3 linked regions of the Oryzias latipes genome follow. The protein of the gene in region 3 interacts with the protein of the main gene of each other region in a pairwise test. Links are inferred from orthologs where the notes say so. Each region holds a gene or a part of one and is shown on either strand. Other genes may lie near its edges.

Region 1 (4,126 bases), on a different chromosome or scaffold from region 3:
CCTCATGTTCTGCTTGAATTCAGATAAAAAAGTGTAACAGATTAGAAAAACATTTAAAAATGTCACCATATTGAAACACATTTGAAAGATTTTAACAAAAAGGCATCTTTGTTCACTAACAGAAACAATTTAAATGAAAAAAGTTTATTTTGTGTTTGTTATGTTTGCTTTTACAACTAAGTATCAGTCGCCATAAAAAAAAGAGAATACAGTTGAAGAATTATGAGTAAAACAGTCCAATTTTTACATTAAAGTAGTAAATTTATGATTTCAAAAGTTGTCATTTTACAACTATAGGGCACTTTTTTTTCCAAAATTAAAGATGTAATTTCATTAAAATAAAGCTGTACAATTGCAAAAAAGTAAAGCAGATTCAGCGAGATCCTTAAACAGAATGACGTCCTGAATCATAAATTAAAAAGGTGTAATGTTCAATTGTCTTGGTTGAAGCCTTTTAAAGGCTAAGTATAACATTTTATTAACTAAAAAAGCCTGGCTCTTTTGCAAAAGCATAAATATATTACTTTGTTCTTGTACAATTTTGATATTTCTCTATTATCATTTTACGACTTTATCATAAAATACATTTAATTATTTTCTTGTATTGTGGCCCTAATTTTCTGTACTTTCAACTTTAGTTTGAAATGTTGTTAAAAAAATGTAAAAAGTTTGTGTAAAAAGTTAGTGATAAAGGGTCAAAAAGTGGTTCCCCTAAAGGTCAAAGTGAATCCCAACGTCAGCTTTGACTTTGACCTCACTTCTCCTTATAGTTGCCGTCTTCGCGCTCGGCTGCACCGCTGCCATGCGGCTCTGCAAAGATCTGCATCCTGCTGCTCATCTGCCCGCAGACATAAGCCAAGTCGTGTTTGTCCAGAGAATGCGCCGCAGCCAGGTACGCCGACAGCGTCCCTGCTAACAGCAGCCGGTCCAAAGATAAGGAGGGCAGGAGCCACAGCACCACAGCCAGCTCCACGCACACCGGGTGGCGGTAGTGGGACAGGAGGCGCCGCGCTCCAGAGGCTTTATGCAACAGGGGGTCCCCCAAGCTCAGACAATCGTAATACACCTGAGACAGGAGAGTAGAGAGAAAACTTTACATCTATTTACCCGTTTTAAAATATGAAATATTTCTGCAAACAGTATTAGTTTCACTTGGTAACAAATACAAACCTTAAAATACTAATTAAAAACAAAATGTATAGATTTTTTTTCCACCAGAAATGTATGAAACCATCTAAAATGCCTAAAATAAGAAAAAAGAAACAGGTTTCAAACCTGCTTGATGCCCAGAAGTTCTGGATAATCAAAAATCATGAGGATGCTGCAGATGATGGCCCAGCACAGGAAGTGCAGTATGAAGCAGAGCAGGGGGAACCAGACACTCCAGGGGGGGTCCCGGACTGACCACAGGCAGGGGGCGCTGGTCACAGGCTGCCAGAGGCGTATCAAAACCTGAAAATGCCAAAAAAAAAAAAAGTCAATCAAAGTCAATCAACATGAATACATTTAAAAAGCATTAAAAGGTGAGTTTGTTCAATTTTTAAAGAAAATAAAGAGTCAAAACATTTATAAAAAGACTAAAGAACCTGAGACAATATAAAGGGTTTTAGTGGCAAAGTAAACACAGAAAAGGTCACATCTTAAAATGACAGAAAACTTTAAAAAGACCCAAAACAGCACAAAAAGATTCATTCATTCACTCATTCATTTCATTTCACCCAACCCTGCCATCACTGCCCCCCCTGACCCGCCCTCAGCTGCTGAACGACTGCTTCATATTCCTCACTCCCCCCTTCTGCCCCTGCCACCCTGGTCAGAGCTGCATGTGACAAATTCATGAAAAAAAAAAGTTTTTCAAAAAGCGGCTTTTCTGTTAGTTTATCTCCTTAGCAACCATTTCGTCTTGTAGTTATCTGGGGGTGACGAACAAGTCTATGTAATTTTTTGAAGAATTAGCTAAAGTAAATTTTTGTATTTCCTTGGCAACGGAGGTTTTTAGTTTACCACGCCCACATTAGTCGTGCAAATTTTACTGGTCCTTCAGTCCAGGACTGCAGCGGGACATGATGATGCTGCGGCACATGAAAAAGGTCACGGGGGCCACACACCTGCAGGGCCAGGGCCGTGGTGAAGCAGTATGCAGTCCGGTTCAGGGGCCCCAGCACTGACTGCAAAGCCTGCTTGACCGGAGACCAGGCAAGCAGACTGTGCTGTGTGATGAAGAGAGCCATCAGGCACAGATCCACAATGAGAGACCTCAGGACTGAGCCATCAGAAAGAGCCACCGACCATGGTATGGTGTCTGGAGAAACAACAGATGTAAAACACTTTAAATGTTATTTTTTAAATACATAATACATCAGAAGTTTCATTAAATGCTTTCTTATAAATAAATGAGTACTTAGAGAGAGAAAAAAGTAAAAACATATTTCGCCCAACGTGGGGCTCGAACCCACGACCCTGAGATTAAGAGTCTCATGCTCTACCGACTGAGCTAGCCGGGCGGCGTGCAGACTCGCATCCCAGCAGAATTTGATACTGGGGTCCGCCGAATGAGTCACTCGTTTTCATGTTAGATAACAAGAGTTTATTGAATGACTTAATATTTATGAAAACAACGAATCACTCCTACACTACAGTGACTTCAACTTCTATTGGCTGGCCGCTATACCTGCGTCAACTTACCCTGACAGAACGGCGTCTCTCCGGTGATGTTGTGGTAAATGGCTCGAAACGATACAAAGCGAATGAAGTCTGCGCCTGATATGAAGACAAATAGCGAGTTTAGCAGAGACGCTGTGCACAGAGCCCAGCAACGAAGAGTGACTACCGCCATTTCCAAAAGCGTTAATGTTCATTTCACAACAGTTCCGGAAGAGTTTCTTTGACAGTACCTGAAATGGACACGTGGGGGCACTGTTTCCCCGTGTATTGTTTGCAAGCTCACTTTACGTCTAAAATTTAGACAGGAGGGTGGAGGAGTCACTCAGTCCATTTTTCATATACAGTCAACGATTTAAACTTTATTTGACTGTATATGAGAAATGGACTGAGTGACTCCTTCCCCCTTCTGTTCCAAACAGGAAGCAGCTCCAAGAAGCCAAAAACCCACAGATGTCTATGGAGAAATAAACATCTATAACTCAGTTATTGATAATCCTCTTTTTTCATGATAATTTTCTGTTGTTGAAGTTATTCAAGTTATCAACTGACCAATCAGATGCCTCAATAAAAGTATGTGGTCTGCATCAAATGCCCTCAATGTTTGATTGACAGATTCTCACGGGTCTGCTTTCAGTGGAAGGCATGAGGTCTTCTAACATGCTCACTCCTGACTGGAGAGAGCGCTTGCCATAGAAATGTTGTAGACTCGGACCAACCGCTGTTTATTGACGATTTCTGCTTCCAACATGGTGGCATTCAGATCGCAAAAAAAAGGCAACTGAATTGCTACTGGATCAGTAACGGCTACCGGTTTGGAACCGGAAGACAGTTGTTTTCTATGGGTGACATCACATCCACTCTATCCAGTTTTTATGGTCTTTAATATGATATTTACAACAAGGATAAACTCATGTCTTTGTCAGTGAACCTGATGTTTCTGTCCACTGGATGGATGTGGGAGGTAATTTCTTCCACTTCCTGGGTTTTGACCCATGTGACATCCATATGTCGGATCCAGTGTTGGTGCATCTCCAAGGAACCGCATCTAGATTGATTTCCATTTTTTCCATGTGTAGGTTGATCACTGTGGGAGACATTGGTTATTTTAGGCCACATCTGTGTTTTTACCTGAACAATTTCACGTGAAACGGGAAGTAGGTGTAATTCAAGTAGCTGTCCAGCTGATCATAAACGTGTTCTGGTGTCAGCTTGGGTCTTCTTCAAGGTTTGTCCTCACAGTTTGTGAAGCTTTTGTGGAGGAAATGCAGATGAAAAAAGAGGTAGAGCAGAGGTTCATCTGCTCCATCTTGAGATGATTGCACACAGACTCAGTTTATGCGAGAAGGGGAGGGGATTTTCAGGAGACCATAGAAACATGAGACGACGTCTGATTTAATATTGATTCATATTTTTTTCTCTCATATAAAAATCTCAGATAAAGGATCAAGCCAGATATTCCGTG
Region 2 (4,209 bases), on a different chromosome or scaffold from region 3:
AATGTGTTTTTTTATAATACATTTAAAAAGTGCTTAATCATGATGCAAAATTGCTGGACAGAATACCACTTGCTCCTACAGGTCAGCTGCATAACTTTCAGAATTTAACATGACAAGCTCACATGAGGAGAATGAGGGGTAACTGATGCCCAGTCATAAACAGAAATGTTTTATCCAAAATTAAATTCCCCTCAAATTATTCCCTTATTGAACCCTCTATTTTGAAATAATTCACAACATTTTAACACTGAGGGCTTTATTTAAGACAGGAGCATTCCCTTTTAGCCTCCAAAAATAGAAATATTGATATAATCAGAAAAAAAAGCCTGACTTAGTTACACACAATTTTTACTCAGACACTGTAGGTTCAACAAGGGCTTGTGGTTATTTTTGTTGTACTTTTAAAAAAAAATCTAAATAACAACATTACTGAATGTGAATAAACCTGTAACAACTGTATTTTTTAATGTAAAAACCAAAAATGCAAACATTAACCAATTAACATTAACAGACACCACAGTAGTTTAATATCACCTTATGTATCAGTGAAACTGCTTTTGTGTTGTTTTGTATTGCACTAAAAAAAATTTGGGGGGGATTTTTTAGAATTTTACATATCAATTTGCTCTTCATAATTACTGCATTTATATTCCAGAATATTGTTATAATTCAATATCTTTGTTGTTGTTGCTTTAGGATACCAAAATGCAGATTTTGTTTGTTCCCTTTTGTGTTATTTGTATTTAAAACAAAAAAAATCAAAAAGTATTTCTAAATATTTTAAATAGAGAGGGTAATTAAATTGATTTCTTTTTTGTGCAAACTATGACGGCAGGGGGCAACTTTGTAACCATGGAGATTCAGCTCCTGTGAAGTAACCACCTAGAGATGATCATGAAATAATAAGTTAGGATTTGTTGCCCTCTACTGAAGCATTCCCCTTTTCAGAAACCATCCTTCCGATAGAACACTTTTTTTTTACATACAGCAAGGAAATGTAATCACACTACTGATGACAGTATTCTGGTTTCCCACATTTATACTTCCTTTAGAACAAGATGTTACTGTTTATTTTATTATTATTATTGCCTAAAAAGGCATTTCAAACTCAAGTTCTAAGACATCAAGGTGTAATATAATATAATATAATATAATATAATATAATATAATATAATATAATATAATATAATATAATATAATATACTGAATGACATTTTTGTTTCTTCATCTGTTTTACCCATATAACAAATGCATTTATTTTAAAAATGCTTTACAGCGATCTGTTTCTTTTCTGTGCATGCGCACCCGCACCGACAGATGGCGGTAAAGAAGTTTGTGAAGACTTTGAGGATGAACACCGTCAGCGTGGCTCCGAGAAATCTGTTTTTGTCTGCGTGAGGGAGACAGCAGCAGGAAGCTTCGTGGTGCTGAAAGAACAGCTCCTTAACAGCTGGACATCTTCAGGTAGGAAGAGGCGCCATCCAGGAGACATAAGTTAGGGCGACATATGGGTTGGGGGGTCAGCATCTTTAACTGGAAGAATTTCCTACTCATGTTGAAAACAAAGAAAAGAGATCCAGCTACTATTTCTTGAATTCAAGCTATTTTGTTTTGCCACGTGCGTGAGGAACTCCAAGTGATCATGTTTTTTGTGTGGAAGCAAACGCAGGCATCAGGTTTATTCTGAGGAACTTGATAGTCACCATACGATTTGATTGTTTCTTACTCCTGCAGGTTAGGAGACCACCAGGAGACTGATAGAGTATTCTTGGAATTCTCAGTGGCCCCAAAGACCCACATTTACACAGAAATGAGTTCTTCTTATGATTATAGTCTTATTACTCCTACAGCTGCATGAAAATTACCTCGATATGGGTGTTTTAATGAAATAGGAAATCTAAATATGATATTTATTTCTTAAAAAAAAGTCTTTGAAGTATTATACATTTTAGCACAGTGTAACAGTTTATAGTAACTCCAAAAGGTTCAGTTCAATTTAATTGTATTTATATAGCCCAATATTAAAACAATACTTGTCTCACTGGGCTTTATATTGGTAACTGTAAGAACATGAAATCAGTCATAAAATAAAATAGGTAATTGTTAAACTAAACTAAACAGACTAAGCTAAACTGGGCACCCCTGCCCTTAGACCAGGGGTGCCTAAATCCATGACTCGAGGGCCGGTGTCCTACATGTTTTCCAACCATCCTGCTATTGAAGCACCTATTGGCTAAACACACCTGATCCAGGTAATCAACAGGAGACAAGGCGAGTTTCTGGAAAAGTAGCAGGAGGCTGGCCCTTGAGGCCTGGATTTGGGTATCCATGCCTTAGAGCCTCCTTCTCGATAAGGAAAAACTCCTAAAAAATGGATTCTGGGAAAAAAAGAAAAAACCTCAGGGATGCCCGCATGAAGGAGGGATCCTCCCCCAGGATGCACAGGCGATGTACCAGATTTAACTTATCTAACTCTTCAACTACTTGTTTGGATAGTCTAGCAGATGGGCTTCAAAGATCTATTGGATTGTTTTTGACAATCCTTTTATTCTCTATCCATCACCATGCTAACTTGATTACTTTATCCTAAGAAGAATCACAAGGGTTTTTAAAGCTTATTCTACCTTTTTGAAGGTGAGGGCAGGGATGAGAAGCCTTGACCAGGGCCACTGATATCCACATTCACCCATGAGGGGTGAAGTCCCAGAATAAGCTATGAAACTTCAAAGGAGGCTGGAGCGTACAGGAAAACATATAGTACATGCAAAGGGGAAAATAGACAATCTTTACAGAAAGGACCTATCTGGGAATAACACCAGAAACCTTACATCTTTGAGTAGCAGGGCTAACTACCACACCATTGTGCAACCTTTCGCTTATTTGGACGTGCATTACAATAAAAAACAAATCAAATTTGTAAATTCTACTTTAATTAGACAACATGGGCTTTAAGTTAGATTATGTCTGTAATTTTTTGCATTTGTTAATAAAAATAATTGTTTGCCTTGCGACACATACACAAGTTTAATCTAACAAATTGCTGTTGGATCCTCTCCACTTCTGATCAAACCTGTTTTCCGTCTTTGTCCCACAGAGATGTTCACCCGAATGTTAAAACTGAGACTGCTCAACGCCGTGGCACCTGTGTATTTCTTCATGGCAACAGCAGTTACCAACATCCTACATTTCTTCTTCTTCATCCCGACTATATTCCCTTACCCAGAAACCTCCCTGATGGTGTCATCCACTCTCCATACAGTGCTTGTGCTCTTCTTGATGTTCAACGCACTGGGGAACTACATTATGACTATCATATATCCTGCTGAAAGTGCCAACGAGACTTTGATCCCTGTGTGCTCCCCACACTGCTCAGACAAAGTGGATGCTCACTACCTTCTGAACGGCCGGCACTTCTGCAAACTGTGCAAGAAGATCATCCTTAAGAGGGACCACCACTGTTTTTTCACCGGGAACTGCATCGGCAACAAAAACATGCGTTACTTCCTGATGTTCTGCATCTACACGTCATGCACGTGTTTGTACTCTTTGGTTCTGGGTGTCGCGTTTTTGACAGTGGAGTACTCCATCTCTTTTGAGAACCCCCTGACCTTTCTTACTCTCCTCCCCCTCTCGGTCTGCTCCTTCTTCATGGGTGAGTCTTGAAAAAAGAATGCTAACACAAAGATAATTGTTGCCACACTTCTAGCCCTAACTCTGCCCCCTCCTTGTACAGGAACCATCTCAGGATTGCAGCTGTTCCTGGTGCTGATGCTGTATGTGTGGCTGGGCATCGGCCTGGTGTGCGCCGGTTTCTGCTCCCAGCAGATGCTGCTGGTGGCTCGGGGACAGACTTGGTGTCAGATGCAGAGAGGCGAGCTGGTGAGGAACTGCAGCAACTGGAGAGCCAACTTGAAGCACGTCTTTGGCACGCGCTGGATCCTCGGACTCATCCTGCCTGTGCAAACGGAGGAGTGCTCTGAAGATGCTGATGGACAAAAACAAGACTAAGGATCGGGATAGGTCAAAAAACTTAAAGGACCGATTAGAACTCTTTTGATGATGGGATGCTCTATGTTTAAAGTTATCCCTGAAATAACTAATGGCACATATTCAGTTTAGGAAAGGAGCCATAGGAGCTAAGACCTTTCTCTTTAAAAAGCAAGTATCAACATTTAATCTTTAGCTTCCGTTTCAATTCTAAAGTTTTTG
Region 3 (4,064 bases):
ACACCTCAGCAGCAGCTTTGTCCAGAACCTCCAGGTAAGCCTCTTTCTTTTTGGCCATTACCAACGCCAGGGAGTGAAAAAACTGGGTCACGTCGTCCCGGTCCTGTCTCAGCAAACCCTCGCATCGGGTTTTTTCCTGCTCCAGCTGCTCCCCCAGCTCACAAACCTTAAAATTCACACAACCGCACGTTCAAACTGTCTCTATTCTAGCTTTTGTTATGAAAAAATCCAAAATGCTGATGAATTTCTGACTGACAGGTTCGCGCGGGAGCCTGTCAGTCAGAAATTCATCAGCATTTTGGATTATTTCAAGCTTTTTCCCCAAAATGTTGAATGTTTTGGATACATTTTGCCATAATCTTGCAGATCTAACCACTCCGCCATGAAAGCCCCGCCCACCTCAGCCCATCTGTGCTCGGAGAGCTCGGCCAGCTGCTGGGGAGTGGCCTTCTCCCTGGCGAAAGCGGCCTGCAGGTCGTCTATGGGGTGGCCGTGGTGCTGCCCGACGGTCAGACACAGCCCGCAGATCAGCTGGCGATCCTGGATGCAGTACATGTTGAGGGGCTGTCTGGGGTGCTCCTGGCAGGACGGGGGGCGTGGCTCCTCATCTCGCTGGTACTTATAGCCCCCAAAACAGAAAAAGAACGTTAAAATTGAAACGTCCCACCGAGGCACAAAACTCCTCCACACCTTTTCAATGATGGCCCGCAGGGAGACGTTGCTGGGCAGGGCGTCCACGCCCGCCGGGGGCAGCTCCACCACGCTGCGACAGTTGGGGCATTTGATTGGTAGGCGGAGCGGGCGCCATATGGAATAGTTGGTGGACACCTGCAGCAGGTTCTCCAGGCAAGGTTGGCAGAAGGTGTGCGAGCACGGGAGGACCCGCGGGTCGGAGAACAACTGGTAGCACACCGAGCAGGTCAGGTCCTCCTCCAGGCTGTCCATGACAGAGACGGGAGGCCTGGATTAGGACTGCAGGCCTGGAAGGGAAGTCTGGAAAGTCAGGAGAACGGAAAGAAAACAGCGCATCGCACAACGGAAATAAAGCATCAAAGCAAACATATGATTAATTCTTTTATTTTGAAGCACCATGACACTTTTTATGTCATCGGATTATCTGAAAATAAAATAAAAATAAAGTATTTTAGACCATCAAGAAGGGTAATGCAATAAAGACTTTTTAGTCCCTTTACTTGTAAAAATTGAAACTCATTCAACCAAAAATTTTTAAATAATTCTGGTTGATTTCTTACTGACCACTATCAAGCAGGAGCCACAAGGTCTTACTTCATTCACCCTTTGGAAAAATAAGACACAGGTTTGTATTTATGTTGTCATTATGATAAATAGAAAAGAACACAAAACACAGAGGAAATAGCCGTTTCTTTGAGTTAACTTTAAACAGAGGTTCCCAATACTTTCTTTCAAAATAAAAGCCTCCATGTACTATAAGGATCATCTCAATGCAGCTAATTTAGTCGTAGGTAGTGTCATGTCAGCAGTAAATTATTTATTCCAGTACTGCTTACTGACCTCCAATTGATTTTTTTTTAATATGTGGCGCTCAAAAATCTGTCCATACGTTAGTTTGACTTGTGATACGTACTGTCCTTCAACTGTTTATCAATGAGTTGAACTAGAGGCTCTAGAGCTGCTGGTTCTAAACCACTGATCTAGACTTTCTAAAATGCCTTCAGTCCAATTTCAATAAAACAACATACAAACTACAGGGAATTGTTTTTCATTTTGGGCTGGACAGTTAAAATCTCCAGGAAATTCCTAAAATAAAGGAATATATTTATTTTAATCTAAACAAGCGCAATCTGAGAAATATAAATGATGAAGACCCAAATGAGAAGGTAAAAAGAGCAGCGAGAAAAATATGTATTGAAATGTAAATCTTATCATAACCCATTCGATTAATTTGTCAGCCATTATCAGTCATTACTCAAAGAGAAATAATTAAAAAAAAAAACATTGACTAGATGGAGCTCAATCCTTCAAAAGGGAAATGTGAGAGCTCTACTATTTATTTGCTAAATGAAATTGAATGTCTTGTTTCTAAAGGTTTGGCCTCTGAGCTTTTCTGCTGGCTCTCATCATCGTGTTGTGTGGGGATCAGGAGGACCGTCTCTGCTCCTGTTACAGCCGCCAGAGCAGGAACAATAGCGGCCTCGATGCCAGCTGCCACCCCGTCCCAGCACCTCAGTCCGGACAGTCTGCTCAACATGATCCGTGCGTGGAAACTGGGACAAAGTTGGCGCCGCGGTTCAAATGGACGTGAACACGTCGTGCCTAGCTTTACTTTTAGCTCATTTTAAAAACACTAGTCTAGCATCAGGAATGTTTGTGCTCGCAATTACCAAAACAAGTTCAAATCCTTTTAACTTAGCACTGCTAGCAAAGCTATCATGTTACTTCAGTGTCAGCTCGGAAATGTTTTTTGTCTTGTTCGCCTGTTAGATGTGATGGCGTAAACAATGTTTTCGTAAGGAAATTATTTGTTTCAGACTCACCGTCACTTCAGAAGGAAAGTGTCCGTCTGAGCTTCCCTTTTCCTGTTCCTACCGGTGCTGCCTTCAGGGACACTTAGAATAAATCCCTCCTAAATACAAGCTGCGGATAGAGACACGGAAGCACGCGTAATTTTAGCAGCACAAACCTATGCAAAAATTATTTAAAATACGAAATATACTAAAAATATTTCTGATTTTGGGTACATCTTACTTTTGGAAGTACAAACAACAGAAGATAAACAATTTTTTGACAGTTTCCAAATGCACCACGAAACTGCGCATGCGAACAAACTGTCTCTCTGGCCAATCAGCAGGCGCCGTCACCGATTTGAACCGAACTTCAGACGCAGGCGCCTCTCCACCAACAGAGCACACACACGCAGTCACTCAGGGTTTCACCATTTATTTTCTTGAAGATAACCCATCCTGCAGCCTTTCCCAAAAAACTTGTTCTCAGGCAAAGCCGCATTTTATTTTTTTCCTTCAATAGTTTTAGATTTGAAACCACGTTTGCTAACAAGGAATGCTGCAAAACCAAATGAAAAAAAAGGAAGGAAAAAAAACTATGTTTAAACAGAAGGATCGTGAGCACAATGTGTAATCATCACTACAGTGTATCAAGGTAACAAAAACTGAAAAGGGGGGGGTAAGCTTGTACACCTAGCTGGTAAGAGGAAGAAAGAGGGGGACTGCAGGGTACTCATGTTACAGCAAATTTGTTTGCCAGTTTATATATTATTTAGGGAAACCCACAAAGAACAACTCCAGTCTGCATTTGGGACACCACAAGAAAAAGGACTTTTGAGTCCCTCTTTAATTGATATACATTAGCAGATTAATTCCTGCTGCTCCTGAAATAAAGTTAATGTTCTCTCAAGTATCACGAAAAGGGATCGATGGATCTGTCTAGAAAAATCAAAAGCCGGGGTTGCGCCGCATAATCCGGAGAACGTTTGCAGGTAAACCCCAGAAAGATTTCAGGCCTCACTTTGCAGAATGATGTGCAAAACCATACAGATTATTTTGCAAACTGGACACTAGCATAGACTAAGGGAAGGGTAAACATGTAACATCTAAGCACAGTTTTACTTAAAAATGAAAAATTACACTGTTACCACAGTCTAAGGAAACTAAAATACCCTAAAAAGAACTGTGCTATAGTTTAGTACATGCAAAGGTTATGATTAACAATCCTATGTGACAAGGCTGTTGTTCTATTCTCCCTCGGTGATAATCAAAGCTATGGCAACAATACTGCAAGCTGTGATTTTTGCTGTAAAACTTAAATGATAAAAAGAGGAAGTTACAGGAGGAACAGATCGTTTGGTTGATTAGGGTTTATGGTGTCAGAATTTCAGAGCCCAAAGTCCGGTGCTTCAGGTTCTGGTGGAGAGGTGTAATACAATCGTCATCAAGTCACTGTTACAGAAGCAGTGAAACTAAAAGCTGAAACGGAAAATATAAACATAAAGGAAACACACTGGAGGCAGAAAGAAAAGCCCAAAAGCATCTTAATTCAATGCACTGCTGCTCCACATTGCCTTTAAC

Evidence for each region.
Region 1: the proteins of trim59 (region 3) and nrm interact in binary tests that used the Homo sapiens proteins (3 or more experiments, as listed by UniProt). The two-hybrid records come from large-scale screens. The link is inferred for Oryzias latipes from reciprocal best matches to the Homo sapiens genes TRIM59 and NRM.
Region 2: the proteins of trim59 (region 3) and zdhhc22 interact in binary tests that used the Homo sapiens proteins (3 or more experiments, as listed by UniProt). The link is inferred for Oryzias latipes from reciprocal best matches to the Homo sapiens genes TRIM59 and ZDHHC22.

Annotation. Positions count from the first base shown.
Region 1 is NC_019869.2:5,698,224-5,702,349, forward strand, and holds the start of nrm (nurim), read right to left. Parts: upstream 2,892-4,126; 5' UTR 2,837-2,891; coding exon 2,686-2,836; intron 2,505-2,685; exon of another isoform or gene 2,432-2,504; intron 2,303-2,431; coding exon 2,109-2,302; intron 1,453-2,108; coding exon 1,276-1,452; intron 1,067-1,275; coding exon 755-1,066; 3' UTR 1-754.
Region 2 is NC_019880.2:13,011,888-13,016,096, reverse strand, and holds the start of zdhhc22 (palmitoyltransferase ZDHHC22), read left to right. Parts: upstream 1-1,344; 5' UTR 1,345-1,464; intron 1,465-3,094; 5' UTR 3,095-3,096; coding exon 3,097-3,652; intron 3,653-3,733; coding exon 3,734-4,008; 3' UTR 4,009-4,209. UniProt on the Homo sapiens protein: Palmitoyltransferase that could catalyze the addition of palmitate onto various protein substrates and be involved in a variety of cellular processes. Catalyzes the palmitoylation of KCNMA1, regulating localization of KCNMA1 to the plasma membrane.
Region 3 is NC_019871.2:13,509,642-13,513,705, forward strand, and holds the start of trim59 (tripartite motif-containing protein 59), read right to left. Parts: upstream 2,801-4,064; 5' UTR 946-2,800; coding exon 691-945; intron 619-690; coding exon 400-618; intron 167-399; coding exon 1-166. UniProt on the Homo sapiens protein: E3 ubiquitin ligase involved in different processes such as development and immune response. Serves as a negative regulator for innate immune signaling pathways by suppressing RLR-induced activation of IRF3/7 and NF-kappa-B via interaction with adapter ECSIT.